Linked DNA regions of Arabidopsis thaliana. The protein of the gene in region 1 binds, or shares a complex with, the protein of each later gene. Each region holds a gene or a part of one and is shown in the gene's direction. Other genes may lie near its edges.

Region 1 (5,071 bases):
ATCTATAGCTACAAAGATGCTGCATACCCCTTTAGGATGGTACCTCCCATTGTTTACGCTCACCTCGCCATTCTCCGAGTAAACGCCGGAGACCTCACTAGCAGTGATACATGGCGTTTATATATGTAGAAGTTATAATTCAGATGGTTTCTTAAGATAAGAGAAAAGCACTTTTCATCTATGAAACAACTCTTTTTAAACAACATTCCTTCCCTTGTATTTTTTTTTGTTAAAGATTCTTCTCTTGTATTTTCCCATACTTATTCAAAATCTCTCCAAAATATTAATGTAGAGTTTACTTTTTGTCATATCCAGAAATAACTATACCAAGTAAATAAGTAGAATATATGACGAGAACGTATACAATTTATGCAATAAAGAGATTAAGCTTGGGGAATAAGGAACCACGGATGCATAAAGACCTCGAATATCAAATCATGATCTTATATTACGAGACACCGAAAGCGAGTGATCATTTGCTCATTGGCATTGAGTTCAGATCCGCCGAAGCAATAATATGAACATAGAAATAATCAAAATAAAAAACCATATTTGTATGCATAAATATTGTTTCCCACTTTTTTCGAACCAGATTCAAACTCTTATGAAGTTATCCCACTATGTTTATAGAGTTCGAAAGTAAAGACCATTATAAACATGAAAGAAGATAACCATTTAACTCGTAGCAATGGATCGGAGCACGCTTATTCTTCTTCCTCTTAATTACCTCGAAAAGCCTGGAACCGGAAGTAAGCTTGGGACATATATAGTAGCAACCAGGACCACCAATTGAAGACTCCATAGAAGAGTAACATTCAACTTTCGGGCATTCTTATGTCTCTCCCACAACGTAGATGCTAATTGACCTAGTTACAAAGTGACGAATATATAGCAGAATCTTACCATTGTTCTCAATGAAGTGACTTGGATATATTGGAAACTTGGGAAGTTGAGCTATAGAAACTGTCATTAACCTACTCCAATGCTTCTTCATCAGTATATCTTACCTGCTAAGTGCGGTTCACGTAACAAAGAAAGATGATCTCCACGGAAAATCCCTAAAGAAAGAGAATCTTTCCACTGGATCCCGATGGATGAGTGATGAAGAGACTCGAACAAGGTCTCAAATCTCTCTTTTGAGAAATCGAAACTTTGTATCGAAACGGTACCGTAGATATTATAACCTATCCAATAAGGAGTTCCTCCTATACACACACTTGACAATGGTAGTCGAAAGAACCCATGGAAGGTTTTATCAACAACAACAACCTTCCAACAATCAGATTTGAAATCGTAGATTTCAACACTTAAATTATTAGGACACCGAAACCTAACCATTTTGTAATCATTACAACCACTTGGTGACTCGTTACTAATGTATCCAAGACCATATGCATCGATGGAATGGTCAAACTCAAAGCTATAGCCACATTTGATCCATCTTGCTTCTTTCAACAACGGATTGGAAACTAAAATTTTGGTTCCCATGACCATTAGCAATAGACCATCACAATGAAACATGTTGTGCTCCAATAAATCCGAAGATGAAAGCGGTTTAAAAACCTGAAAATTTAAACTAGGTTTGTTGTTGAAATCCATACCGATACAAGAAATTGTTGAGCACAATGGAGAAACTGTGGCCGGAACGTAATTGAAGACTGTGAATATCGGTTCAAGACCATGCATGTGAGACATGTGCTTGTTGACGAATATCGGTTCTGTGATTAGTGTTTTCCATTGCTTGCATGTCCTCTACCAAATTAGTTTGTAGTATGTCCTTTACCAAATTAGTTTGTAGTATTATATTTGGGTTTGTTATTTTCAATTTAGGGTATATATTTTTATTATTAAAAACTTTTTTGATTCAATTTAATATTAGATTAATGTTTGCTCTCATTTTTATTTGGGGGATTGATACAAATAGTAATAAAAAAAACTTTATTATTTAATTAATTTATAGAGGATTAAAAATTTTATATGCTATTTTGGAAATTTCAAAAAAAAGGTGTCATTTTTTGGAATAATAAAGTTTTTTAGTGTCATTTACGTCAATCCCCTTGTTATATTAATATTGGTGTGAAGCTTTTTGGGAAATATATCTATAATTTCTCATCTTATAAAGTTTTATGCTCAAGTGAGTGTTAGTATGGAAATTTTTAATTCGCAATAGTGTATATTGGTCCGTAATGGTGAATTAGTTAAATATCGATTAATTAGATTTTAGTCTGGTACACAACCATTTATAGACTAAATATCTGACAGTAAATGATTTAGAAACTCATACTAACTTATATAGTTATATATATAGGTGCTTTGGGAATTTTTGAAAATTTTGGGTTTTGGATTTTGACGTTGATTTCGATTGGATTTTTATTTGTTGGAAAGTAAATGAACCTACTAATGACCTATTTTTGGTTCTAAAGTTCCAATAAATAAAATGAAGGCTCACTAACTACTTTAATATAAAGACAGGGAGCAAATGATAATTATCGAATTCTTCACTATTTTATTTGAAAACCCACAAGAGTTTCTTCAATCTAAAGCCAAATTGGGTTAAGTCAATTGTTGTCACTATAGATGTTTAGTTCTACAACTCTGCATCATCTTCCTCGTCCGAATCTTCTTCTTCCCAGGTGGGTTTCTTCGTTTCTGTATCAATCAATATACAGTTTCATTTTCTGTAATCTCAAGTTTCGTATTTAGTAATGCAACTAAATTGATCGTCTCTGTTCATTGTCATTGGGCAATTTCGTTGAGGAATACAATTTGTTTAGAAATTTCTCATCTTTATATTGGAACCAATCCTCTAGAATCTCGAATTTATCTGGGCTGTAATTGAAATTTTATGGGGAATTAAATCAGCTTCTTAATTTTGACCTAAATATTGATGTTCAAGGATTGTTTTTTTTCCTGACCCTTTGATTCAACAGCTCTCGTGTCTGCAGGAAAGTTATTTCGAGAAGAATGAGTACGAATCCTGCAATTGAACCAAAAGTTCGCAAATTTGAATCTGTTGAAGGAGTTGATATTGGTTCAAGAAATAAATCCGATGGTTTTTTTGCTATTCCTCTTTACTTATCAAAGCTTGTGGCTTTATATAACTGTATAAGTTTAAGTAGAATTGGTACTAGTAATGAGAATTTTGTGTTTTCAGGTATCAGATTCCGTCTTGTTTCATATAACATATTAGCTCAGGTAAGAAATAATCAAGCTTTTTAATCTCTCATATGCTTTGTGATATTTTGTAGCTTAATATTTGGACGAATTTTGTAGTTTTAAACGATCTTACGAATTTCTGAGCTTGATTTATAGATACAGACAGTTCTTTTAGCTCTTTCCTTTGTTGAGTTTCTTATCTATTTGAGCTTTATATTTCTTGTAGGTTTATGTGAAGAGTGCACTTCTCCCACACTCTCCACCTGCCTGTCTCAAGTAATTATTTTTCTCTACATTTCTCAGTTTCGAGATCAAATTTACTTATACTAGTCAAGAGTTCTTTCTGTGAGTTGTGTAATCAATGGCCTGGAGTATAGTCAAGATTTGCTTCAGAAAACAACAATGGATTCTATGAATGTTTAGGAACTTAGCTATAAGCAGGCAATATTGTGTTTGGTCTTACCCACGTTAATTATCCATTACCCAATATGTACTTTGGATTTAGCGATATATTAACTTTGTTAAAATATTAGGGAATGGTGCTTCTTAAAGGGTTATGGTTTTGTAGTAAATGTGACTTGGTCTTCCTTTTCTTGTGTTGCAGATGGAAAGCTCGTTCACATGCAATTCTCAGCGTTCTCAAAAATCTCCAGGCTGATTTCTTTTGTCTGCAGGTACTTTATTCTTGTGAAAACTTCTTCTTTTGTGTTTAGGTAGTATTGAGATACCCTTTTCGTATGAAACACAAAATTCATTCTTCTCTTTTGTTCAATCCATTAGACAAGCTCAGGCCTGTAAAAATGTTAGTGTTGTTTGTTCATAGGGCCTTTGAATTGTGTTTAACAAAAGGGTGTCTCCACTTGTTAGTTATATAGTTGCAATGCTCGCAGGAAGTAGATGAGTACGATAGCTTTTACAGAAATAACATGGACTCTCTGGGATATTCTGGGATTTATATTCAGAGAACCGGCCAGAGGAAGCGTGATGGTTGTGCAATCTTCTACAAGCCAAGCTGGTATGATAAAAACATTAAGCCTGACAAGACGTTAACTTAATGCAAAAACATCAATCTGATTGAAACAACACTCTTCTTTTGATTTAGTGCAGAGTTAGTCACAAAGGAACGGATCGAATATAATGATCTTGTGGACTCAATAAAAGCAGATAGTGTTTCCTGCAGCGAACAGAAGATTGAGACATCCAACGAAGGAAAAGGTGATGAGAAAGCGAAAGATAAATTTGTCCTTTTGGAGGAAAAGAAAGCAAATACTTTGTGCTGTTTCTTTATATCTCAACATCATTACTAACTTTTATCTATGTTCTCTTCACATGTTTCCACAAATCTGCCCCAAACAAAAGATTCTCGAAAAGACAGTCGTGACCTTAATGATCCACTAGTGAGACTAAAACGTGATTGCGTTGGAATAATGGCTGCTTTTAGGATCAACAAGCCGTTTCAGCATATCGTTATCGTGGCAAACACACATCTTTACTGGTAAAAATACTTGTCACCGATTGAAGATTATCTTTTACCACCCTTTAAACTTTCATCTCATGTTTACTTATCTCTAGGGACCCTGAATTGGCTGATGTCAAGCTTGCTCAAGCCAAGTATCTACTGTCACGACTAGCTCAGTTCAAAACACTAATATCAGATGAATTTGAGTGCACACCTTCATTGCTACTAGCTGGCGACTTCAATTCAATTCCTGGGGATATGGTTTGATTCAGTTTCTTACATTGAGTTTCCCTAATTGTTCAATCTATTTGCAAAATCAAAAGATTGGGTTTACGGTGGTAAAATCCTGATACTTGTCGTCGTTTTCCAGGTTTATAGTTACCTAGTATCGGGTAATGCTAAACCCACAGAGACCATAGAAGAAGAAGAAGCTCCAGTTCCTCTGTCTAGTGTCTA
Region 2 (5,071 bases), on another chromosome or scaffold:
TCTCTCAGGCATTTGATCAAACACTTTGCCTGCAAGTGATACCTCGCCAAGCTTCTCATAAAGACTGATAATGTTATTGCAGACATAAACTGGCTGCAAAAGAACAGAGCATAAAGTGATGGAGAGAGCGTGAAGAGCTTTGGTCCTTGCAAAGGAAGGAGCTTTTCTGCAGACATTGAGTAAGCTAACTACACGATCGTTGTGATTGGCGAGATCTCCACAGCTGAGGCTCATGCAGAAGGATACTGAAAACAGAGTACTTCCCAGATCGATCTCAGTTATAATTAAGAACTAAGTTTCGTGCATCATGAAGAAAGTTCTAATAAAGGTCTGAAATTTTAAAAGTTCGGATTTTTATAAACATCAAGAACAAAGTTTGAAGTTCAGAACCAGGGAACTAAATAATTGATCTAGACCGCACCGGCTGGTTCAACCACAGTATCACGGTTTTATCTGTCCAATTGACCAATCTGGCCCATATTATTTTACAAATAAGATCTTTCAAATTGGCCCATATTTAACAAAAGAAAATCGAATTAATATTATGGTTTTCTAAATGAACCAAAATCAACTCAACTTTTTTTTTTTGAATAATTTTATTTTTATTCCATAATTTAATTTGTTTATCATTTCCAATGAAATTTTATCATTAATAAAAAAGGTTGCTCTCCTCATCCCTTCCATCTTTCCTTTCACATTTTTTAGATTATACCTCATGTTTGAATAATATTGGTTTACATATCTAATTCATATTGAAAAACCCTCCAAATCTCTAGAGAAAAAGGACGATAAGAGTACTTAACTCACAAAGGGCAAATACCCAACTTTTGAATCTCCTTACATATTTTATGACAAACTATGAAGGTGTCCTCCAAATACTCTTTAATCATCTTTTGATTATCATCTATAATGATTGTTTCTTCAGACCTCATACCCATATCTTCGAGCGGTTTTAGTATCTTTACTGTCTCGTTAAATAGATTCTCATTTACCATTTCTAAGCATTTCTTCTCTTCTATCGTTAGATCAACTTTCAATTTTTGTATGTCTTTGACGGCTTCCAACAAAACTAACAACAACAAAAAGAAAAATCAAATCAAAAGATTTCACTATAAAGAACAAAAAATAAACAAATTGTTAGTTACCATCATAGAACAAATAATATTCAGCTGCCACAACCCTTTTGAAAAGTTGAATACGTTCTGTGCTTTTGCTCATCTCAACAATTTTGATTAAAAAAAAAAATATCTAATGCATTCTTTGTTACAAGGTCGAGATGTTATTTTGTAGCGTATATAGTGTTTGAGGCTTCTTTGTTTGGAAAAGATCGCTTTCGAAAAATAATAATTATTATTATTTTCCATGTTATGCTTCATATAAAATGTGGACTCAGGCCTCCGAAATAACAAATAGAAAAAATTGTGTTGAATGCTTAAAAACGAGAAAGAAATCTCTCAACTTTGATTTACTGGACACGCATTGTATTTGTTTTCTATAATTAGTTCAAAATAATAATTTGTAAATAGTTATCTAAATTCGGTAAAATACAAACCGATAACTTTTCATATCAAATACAACAAAAGTTAGATATAAATCTTAAATTTCTATACTTTAAAATTGAGTAAACCTGAAAAGAATGAAATTTAGTCTACCTAAATTTATTAAAAACCAACAAAATTTTCATAATTCGAACCTTAATTATTTCAGGTTTGAACCGCTTATATTTATGAAAACCAAATGAACTAGCTAAAACGAAAACAAAAGCGAAAATGAACATGACAATTTTGACAATGTTAAAATGTGATTCTTTCATTAATTTGACAAATTCAACAATTCTTAAGAAGATCAATTGAATTGATAAACTATGCTGCTCTTCTTGGGTAATTCTCACATTTTAAAAAAAAAACAAAAAAGAAGAAGAAGTTAATTCTACCTTAATCTGCAACAAATCGTCTTCAAGATAATTATATCACGAATTGATATTTCTTGTCTCTTAATCTTAACGAAGAAACTACACCTCCTGGCTCCTACTGAATGTGCGTTGAACACTCACCTATTGACTCATCTTCACCATTCCTTCTTTCTTCAATCTATCATAGATATAAATACACTTCTTTTAAGTCACCAATCTTGTTTTCGTAATGGTACGAGTCATAAATCTTGATTTGTCTTTGGTAAGTCATGTTTAGTTGTGGATTATTTGTTTTTACGCATTTTCTAGATTTTAAAATTTTATCTTTATATAAACAAAAATAAAACGAAAAACTTTCAATCTTTGAGCGCCAAAACCAAAATTTTCATCGAAAAGGAAGATCAATTAAAATATTATAAAATTTCATAATAATGTCTTCAAAGCACAAAATAATAGTTTTAGTATTAAACCCACTCGGGGAAAAAAAACACATAAAAAAACCAAAATCGATTTCATTGATTTTTTCCATATTCACAGCGAAAGAATCGATCCTTAATACAAAATTCCTTCAAGATCTCACATCTCTTATAAGCTTTCTCGATACCATCATTTTCCTTTCTTTTTTTCTTTTCTTCGATTCTAATTTGGTTCTGCCGGATCTTCAACCTTGTCTGAAGAAGACATTTTCTAGGGTTTCTAGAGATTGGTCGGGTTTTCGGTTCAAGTAAATGGTGGATCAGCCTATCGTACGCTCCACTTCATTAGGTTATCAACGACAATATTCATCATCTAATAATCATCATCAAGGTCTTGCTTCGATTCTGAATCTCTGCTGCTGCTGCTTCGATAGTGTTCTTCGACAATCACCAGGTGTTATTGAAAAGCAATGCTGAGCGTGATCCGAGTGCATCTTCCTTCTGAAATTCCCATTGTGGGCTGTGAATTGACTCCTTACGTCCTTGTTCGTCGTCCCGATAAGAACTCCACCACTGATGACGTCCCTGAATCTGCTCCTCTTGAAGGCTACTTCTTGAGATACAGATGGTTAGATTTCTGATTGGCTCTTTGTCTAATTGCTTTCTTGGATCATTTGGCGAATTGGGGTTTATCAAAGATTGAATTTTGATCTGAATTCAGAGATTTCTCATGTAGATGTTCTGATTTAGGTCGTCAAATGGTTTTTGTGTGTAAAGTTCTGATCTTGTTGTAGATTCATTTTTTGGATTTATTTGTTGTAGGTATCGTGTACAGAGTGATAAGAAAGTAACGATTTGCAGTGTGCATCCAACGGAACAAGCTACTTTACAGTGTGTTTTCTGTTCTAAGCGTAGATCCCTTGTTCCAAAAAGCTATCACTGTTCGCCAAAATGCTTCACGGATGCGTGGCAGCATCACAGGACTTTGCACGAGCGAGCAGCTGCGGAAAACAACGCAAACGAGGATGATGACTTGAACAGGAATAACAGTGCGGGTTCTGGGTCTCTCGCTGGTTCCTTATCTGGGTCTATGTCAAATCTTAGTATTGCCAACAATGGTCCAGCTCCGTTTTATCCTTCTAATATTACTCAGAAAAATGGAGGAGAGACTTTAGTTGAGGTTGGGGGTTGCAAAACGTACACTCCAACAGCTGATGATATTAGCCACGTTTTGAAGTTCGAGTGTGTTGTGGCTAATGCTGAGACTAAACAGATTGTCGGACATCCTAGTACCATTTTGACTTCACGGGTTATTCCTGCTCCTTCTCCAAGCCCCCGTAAGCTAATCCCTGTTAACGGAGCTGATGGGATGGGTCACTTAGATCAAGATGCTCGGATTCAGTCTGCAGGATCATTCACTGTTCTTTCATATAACATTTTGTCTGATACTTCTGCAAGTAGCGACCTCTACAGTTACTGTCCTCCTTGGGCTCTTTCATGGCCATACCGAAGACAGAATTTGTTAAGGGAGATTGTTGGATATAGAGCCGATGTAGTTTGCCTGCAAGAAGTATGTTATTCGTATGGACTTGGTAATGATTTAAAGCATTTTAATTCTGAAAAATCTACTTCTAATGTGTTCTTTTTTTTGTTATCTGGCAGGTACAAAGTGATCATTTCCATGAAATTTTTGCTCCTGAGTTGGATAAGCATGGGTATCAAGCTCTTTACAAGAGGAAGACTAATGAGGTTTGGTCAATGATTCCACACACTCCTTCCTTCAGTGATTTATGTTTTAAAATCTATTAACCACAAATTTCTTGTTGCTAGGTTCTCAGCGGAAGTACAAGTGCCATTGACGGCTGTGCAACATTTTTCCGGCGGGATAGGTTTTCGCATGTCAAGAAATATGATGTTTGTATTCAGTTCTATATGTTTACTTGCTAGATCCAGTAAGATCTCTATACTAATTCATGGACTGTAAATCCAGGTTGAATTCAACAAGGCTGCTCAGTCTTTGACTGACGCTCTAATCCCTCAGGCTCAGAAGAGAACTGCTTTAAACCGACTGGTTAAGGTATTTTTGACATGGTATACAATATTTTTCTGGGCCACAGCTGATTATCAGAGAGTTATTGTTTACAAAACTGAAACCAATGATTCTTATGTTGTAGGATAACATTGCGTTGATAGTTGTTCTTGAAGCCAAATTTGGTAATCAACCTACTGATCCTTCTGGGAAGCGCCAGCTTATTTGTGTGGTACTGGTTCTTTTTTTTTTTCCATTCTCATGAGAACTGTTAGTTTCTGTATATGCTCTTTTAGTGAAAGCCAATGAATTTTCTTATTTTGTTGTGGCAACTTGTTTAGGCAAACACACATGTAAATGTTCAACAAGATCTGAAGGATGTGAAGCTCTGGCAGGTTGGTGTATCTCTATATCCGAAATAAATCAAATTTCATTGAACTCGAAAGAATTAGTATTCACCTCATGTTTTCTTTTATTCTTTTGCGTTTAGGTTCATACCTTATTAAAGGGACTAGAGAAAATAGCAGCTAGTGCCGATATTCCTATGCTTGTGTGTGGAGACTTCAATACGCTTCCTGGGAGGTTTGTTGATTCATAAATTCTTTTGACATGATACATGAAATGCAGAATTCTCTTATGAGTAGCTAAAGTTTTTCTTTTTGGCATTTTTATGACAGTGCACCTCATACACTTCTTGTAATGGGAAAGGTTGAT
Region 3 (5,071 bases), on another chromosome or scaffold:
GTGAGCGAGTGTGCGCAAGATAAGCCTGCTATACTTCCTCCTACTATGATCGCTTTCCCTTTCTTCTTCCCCATCTCATCAAATCAAATGTTTCTTCTGCTTCACAAATTGTTAACGATAAGAGAGAGTTTCAACTTAATGAAACCTCTGGGTGGATAAGAGGATTAGAACTATGTGGGATGATTCCAGGCCCAATATTCCAAGCCCAATCGTTTGGTCATATAAATAAGAAACTGATCTCTGTTGTGCGTCAAAACTATGTATTAGAATTTCATTTTGTCCAGGCCCAGAATGAATTATAGGCCCAATAGTCTATTCTCTCTCCCACGAACATTATTTATAGATTTTTGGGTTTCCCCTAAATCTCGAGCTTTTTCTTCCCTTGATTTCTTTGGTCTCTGTCCGTACGACGTCGAATATCTAGATTGTTCGACGGCGATGGGAGCTGGGAGAGAAGTCAGCGTATCGCTAGATGGAGTCAGAGACAAAAACTTGATGCAGCTTAAGATACTCAACACGGTTTTGTTCCCGGTTCGTTACAACGACAAGTACTACGCCGATGCAATCGCTGCCGGCGAATTCACCAAGCTTGGTTCGTCTTCTTCTTACTTGATTTTTCTTAATTTCTGTCTCTCTTTGCTTTCCCCAGTAATTCCTGCTTAAATTTCTTAATGGGCATGTGCTATTACGATTTCACGGGAATGTGCCTCTGAATCAGAACTAAAATTCATCGAATTTTGGTATTTTTGCTCTCAGATTTCTGTCTTTTTACCTGAGCGAGCATTAGTAGTCGAGTTTGTTCCTTTAATAGGAAAAGTTTGCTTTGGGGGGTTTATGATGAACTGTTCTGTGATTAGGCTTGGTATACTCTACAAAGAAAGTACCTTTTGCAATCCTGCTTTCCTTTGGTTGTTTGTTTAGTTGGTTCACTGGTCATTGTAATAGGTGTGATTATCTGTGTCTTCTCTTTTGTTCGGTTCCGTGAATTTATTTGACTGAGCCATGTTTTATTTAGGTTCAGTACTAGTGTCTGATACTAGGAAGAAGATGATTTTATCGGTAATATTGGTAGAAGCCTTCTTTCTAAGCCTTGAATGGATCGATTTTGTTTGCTTTCTATTGTCTGTTGTTTCGTAATTACCGATTCATGTTTGAACTTTGTGGTTGATGACATTGATGTTGACAAAGTATCATCTTGATCGTTGTTTTAAGTTGTTTGACTATATGAATACTGCATTCTTTTGTTCAACCAAGCAAAATTTTTTGTATGTTAAGCATGTGTACCTTGTAATCTATCGCTGATTGACTTATATTATCTTTCGAGAACATGGTCCAAGACTAATTTTCGTATTCACAGAATTTTTTCAAGCTCACTTTTGTGAAACCCTTGGTTGGAACATCTTTTGCGTCAACTAGTTCTTTAAATGTACAATAAGATGTGATTATGAAAGTCTAAAGACTGTTAACAACGTCTTAAATTTGGTACTAACTATTTCATTGCAGTTGCTTGGGTAGTTATGTTCTTGGTGTTACATATATTTTCTCTAATTTGTGATCAAGGAAAATTCTTCATGTTCTAATAATGGATTGACTTCCTCTCAGCATATTACAATGACATATGTGTTGGAGCTATCGCCTGTCGGCTGGAGAAGAAAGAAAGTGGGGCCATGCGAGTTTATATAATGACGCTTGGTGTTCTTGCACCCTACCGTGGGATTGGCATTGGTAAGTCATAAATCTGCTGTGCAAAACTTGAATACCGACAAAACATGAATAATGAAGAAAACTGTTAGCATGTTGTGTAATTCTGTTGTTTTCCTTACGTTTTAACACATGAGGCCAGCTGTAGTATGTTTATTCTGTAGTTCTCTATTTGAAGTGTCTCCATTTAGAGATTCAAACCACCAAGAAATAGTCCTTAGGGTTTTATGCATATCGTTGTTTTACCGAGAAACTGGAATTATGATTCCTCCTATATCAAGATTTAAGATCGAATTCCCTGCTTTAGAAAGAAAAACTCGATGTCTATAATTTGTGTATCTTGTTTTTTTCGTCTTTTGCAGGCTCAAATCTATTGAATCATGTTCTTGACATGTGCTCCAAGCAAAACATGTGTGAGATATACTTGCATGTGCAGACAAACAACGAAGACGCAATCAAGTTCTACAAGAAGTTCGGCTTTGAGATCACAGATACCATACAAAACTATTACATCAACATTGAGCCAAGAGATTGCTACGTTGTCAGCAAGTCCTTTGCTCAATCTGAAGCCAACAAATGATGAAAAATACCAAACTTGGGGAAGCCATTCCTCCCCAGTTTCTTTGTTGCATTCAGTTCAAGATCTATTAATGTTATGATGATCCTTCGGTTTCCGAGTTTTGCTTGTTTTGTTGACCTTAATTTTTCTTACTGATTCTAAATTTATAAATTCCTGGTTATATACTTGCATGATTTCTCTAATGTCCTCTTGGCTTTGGACATTTTCGTTTGGAAAAGTTTTTAACTTTGCAACTCAAAGCTTTACTACCAAGTATCATCGTGTTTGTAAATGTTGGTCTATGAATTTGAGTAAAGAGAGACAATGATTCTTGTTATGAGCTGTAGAATAAAGTAAAGAAAAAAATGAAGAATTTATGACTTGCGTTTTGGCTTGCGTGCCATTTATTCACAGTGAAGACTGGAAGATGTGTTCTTCTTGAATCAAAAAACGGCACGTCTTATGAGTCTCCGTTCATCGGTGTCTGCAATTAAGCACCGGTTCCTCGAGCTTCCTCACTCAATTCGATTGACCAATGCGGCGTTCTCGTTTTGTTGCTCAAGTTTTCTCCGACGTTACCTTCGCTGACGCCTCCACTATCTCTGCTCCAATCTTCACCATGTCTACTCGTGCTCCGGTAAATTTTCTCAGCTATTCTCTTGTTCTATCACTCCCGCTGCGTTGCTTCGGTTACTGGAATATAATTTGTTTCTTACGAAGCAGTACAGAGGTGCCCGAGGACGAGGACGAGGCCGAGGTGGGAGAAGTTTCTCCGATCGTCCGTACAATGATGACGCGGGAAGAGATCAGTTCGTTACTGGAGATTCTCATTTTCAATCAGTTCATGACGCCAATTTCCGATTCCGGCATGGTGAACCTTATCGACAACATCAGCCTCCGCTTGATCAGCGGCAGCAACCACCGTTCAATCAGAATTACGAATTTCGACCTCCGCCGCCGTCACGAGGTCAGTGGCAACAATTCCGTCAACCTAATCAGTTTCCGTCTAATCAAAACTACGCGGCTTGCCCTCCCCCTCCGTTCTATCAAAACCAGATGTCCCGGCCGCCTCCACAGCAGAGCTTTCGTCAACGGCCACGGTCAAAACCTTCAGATTACCGTGAATGGGAATATGCCAAAACGCCACCGTCTCCTGGCTCCGGTAATTTATGCGTGACCATCTCATTTGCTCCGGTATACAATTTTTGATTTGCTTTCTCTTGTCTACAGAAAAGTTTGTTGTTTTATCGTATAATATATTGGCGGATTACCTTGCAAATGATCACTGGAGAAGTCTTTACTTTCACATACCGAGGAATATGTTGAGTTGGGGATGGAGAAAGAGCAAATTAGTGTTCGAGCTTAGCCTATGGTCTGCAGATATAATGTGCCTTCAGGTTATAGTTTCTGCTATATCTTCTTGGTAATTGCTTGTATGAGGGACTAAGGAGACAAAACTTTCTTGCTTTACTATTTTTTTATCATATGTATACAGAATGTATCTTCCATATGTATAGTAATCTAAAATTATTTTGTATATGTCAGGAAGTTGATAAATTTCAGGACTTAGAGGAGGAGATGAAGCACCGGGGATATAGTGCTATTTGGAAGGTAGGTTTGTTGAAAACTTTTAGTTGTCTTGAGTTTGTATTCTCTACGGACTCTCTTGGAGTAAAGATTAAATGGTATGCATCATAAGAACTAGGCTTCAAATGTGGGGTTAACTCTATTTTATAAAACTGTAGATGCGGACTGGTAATGCTGTTGACGGATGTGCAATATTTTGGCGATCCAATAGGTTTGATTCCCTTGCTCTTCCTTGTGTGGATCAGTCTGGAATCTTGTTTAGGATTTCATTGTTATCATATTAGATTCAAGTTGGTTCACGAGGAAAGCATCCAGTTCAATCAACTTGGTCTCCGAGATAACGTTGCTCAAATATGTGTGCTTGAGGTAATATGGATACCTTATGTTGATAGTGACTTATATACATTTGCCTCTTTGCCCTAAATTAAATTTGCTCTGTGTAGACATTGTTGACTTCACATACAAAAGAAAATGAGACCCCTCCACCTGAAAGGTAACTTAAAAGTATCTGTAAATGTTACTATCATATCATTTTATGGGTGGATAATTTCACTAGGAAGTGGCCGATTTTCTTCAGATTTCAGTGGTTTTCTGTATGGACTATACTTTGTGGGTGGGTTGAAGTGAATTACCAATTTCTTTTACAGCTCTGCTGGTTCCCATCGAGTTGTCATTTGTAACATTCACGTGCTTTTTAATCCTAAAAGAGGAGACTTTAAACTTGGTCAGGTACTTTCCTTTAATGCCATATTCTAGTTTGTAGAAATCTTTTGCCAAACGACAGTTTTACTCTCTGGTTTAACTCTGTCTATACGCTATGAACATGTATAAGTGTTAGGTGTTTGAGATAAAACTTTTGAAACCAAACGCTTCGCCCCTTGCTTAACTTGGTTTCTTTAACTGTTTCCATTTATCATCTATGTATTTATCTCTGTTACGTAGGTCAGAACACTCTTAGATAAAGCTCATGCTGTTTCAAAACTCTGGGATGATGCGCCTATTGTTCTTTGTGGGGATTTCAATTGTACACCAAAGGTAGGACAATCTTACCTTAACCAGTTTGTATACCCCAAAAAACTTGTTTTGTGACATGGTCATAACATTCTTCCACCTGGTTGCAGAGTCCTTTGTACAACTTTATTTCAGACCGGAAGGTAAAGCTTCATTGTTAGGAAAGTCCTTCACCTATTCGCAACATTATATATATGGTTCACATTGTGTCTT

Evidence for each region.
Region 2: AT1G31500 (region 1) and AT3G58580 share a complex: the UniProt entries of both Arabidopsis thaliana proteins name them as parts of the CCR4-NOT complex.
Region 3: AT1G31500 (region 1) and AT5G11350 share a complex: the UniProt entries of both Arabidopsis thaliana proteins name them as parts of the CCR4-NOT complex.

Annotation. Positions count from the first base shown.
Region 1 is NC_003070.9:11,274,041-11,279,111, reverse strand, and holds the start of AT1G31500 (DNAse I-like superfamily protein), read left to right. Parts: upstream 1-2,483; 5' UTR 2,484-2,577; coding exon 2,578-2,633; exon of another isoform or gene 2,634-2,637; intron 2,638-2,930; coding exon 2,931-3,195; intron 3,196-3,382; coding exon 3,383-3,432; intron 3,433-3,760; coding exon 3,761-3,830; intron 3,831-4,046; coding exon 4,047-4,171; intron 4,172-4,258; coding exon 4,259-4,371; intron 4,372-4,515; coding exon 4,516-4,651; intron 4,652-4,728; coding exon 4,729-4,876; coding exon of another isoform or gene 4,877-4,882; exon of another isoform or gene 4,883-4,985; coding exon 4,986-5,071. Other genes in the region: AT1G31520 (uncharacterized protein), read left to right, coding at 1-129; AT1G31510 (F-box associated ubiquitination effector family protein), read right to left, coding at 650-831, 904-963, 1,008-1,695. UniProt on the Arabidopsis thaliana protein: Acts as a catalytic component of the CCR4-NOT core complex, which in the nucleus seems to be a general transcription factor, and in the cytoplasm the major mRNA deadenylase involved in mRNA turnover.
Region 2 is NC_003074.8:21,661,425-21,666,495, reverse strand, and holds the start of AT3G58580 (DNAse I-like superfamily protein), read left to right. Parts: upstream 1-2,400; 5' UTR 2,401-2,798; coding exon 2,799-2,956; intron 2,957-3,150; coding exon 3,151-3,898; intron 3,899-3,990; coding exon 3,991-4,077; intron 4,078-4,158; coding exon 4,159-4,242; intron 4,243-4,318; coding exon 4,319-4,405; intron 4,406-4,502; coding exon 4,503-4,589; intron 4,590-4,698; coding exon 4,699-4,752; intron 4,753-4,847; coding exon 4,848-4,939; intron 4,940-5,034; coding exon 5,035-5,071. Other genes in the region: AT3G58590 (Pentatricopeptide repeat (PPR) superfamily protein), read right to left, coding at 1-234. UniProt on the Arabidopsis thaliana protein: Acts as a catalytic component of the CCR4-NOT core complex, which in the nucleus seems to be a general transcription factor, and in the cytoplasm the major mRNA deadenylase involved in mRNA turnover.
Region 3 is NC_003076.8:3,618,788-3,623,858, forward strand, and holds the start of AT5G11350 (DNAse I-like superfamily protein), read left to right. Parts: upstream 1-2,731; 5' UTR 2,732-2,795; coding exon 2,796-2,897; intron 2,898-2,980; coding exon 2,981-3,422; exon of another isoform or gene 3,423-3,429; coding exon of another isoform or gene 3,430-3,490; coding exon 3,491-3,657; intron 3,658-3,805; coding exon 3,806-3,871; intron 3,872-4,005; coding exon 4,006-4,058; intron 4,059-4,131; coding exon 4,132-4,213; intron 4,214-4,290; coding exon 4,291-4,340; intron 4,341-4,494; coding exon 4,495-4,576; intron 4,577-4,789; coding exon 4,790-4,882; intron 4,883-4,968; coding exon 4,969-5,001; intron 5,002-5,071. Other genes in the region: AT5G11330 (FAD/NAD(P)-binding oxidoreductase family protein), read right to left, coding at 1-74; AT5G11340 (Acyl-CoA N-acyltransferases (NAT) superfamily protein), read left to right, coding at 439-592, 1,603-1,725, 2,064-2,281. UniProt on the Arabidopsis thaliana protein: Acts as a catalytic component of the CCR4-NOT core complex, which in the nucleus seems to be a general transcription factor, and in the cytoplasm the major mRNA deadenylase involved in mRNA turnover.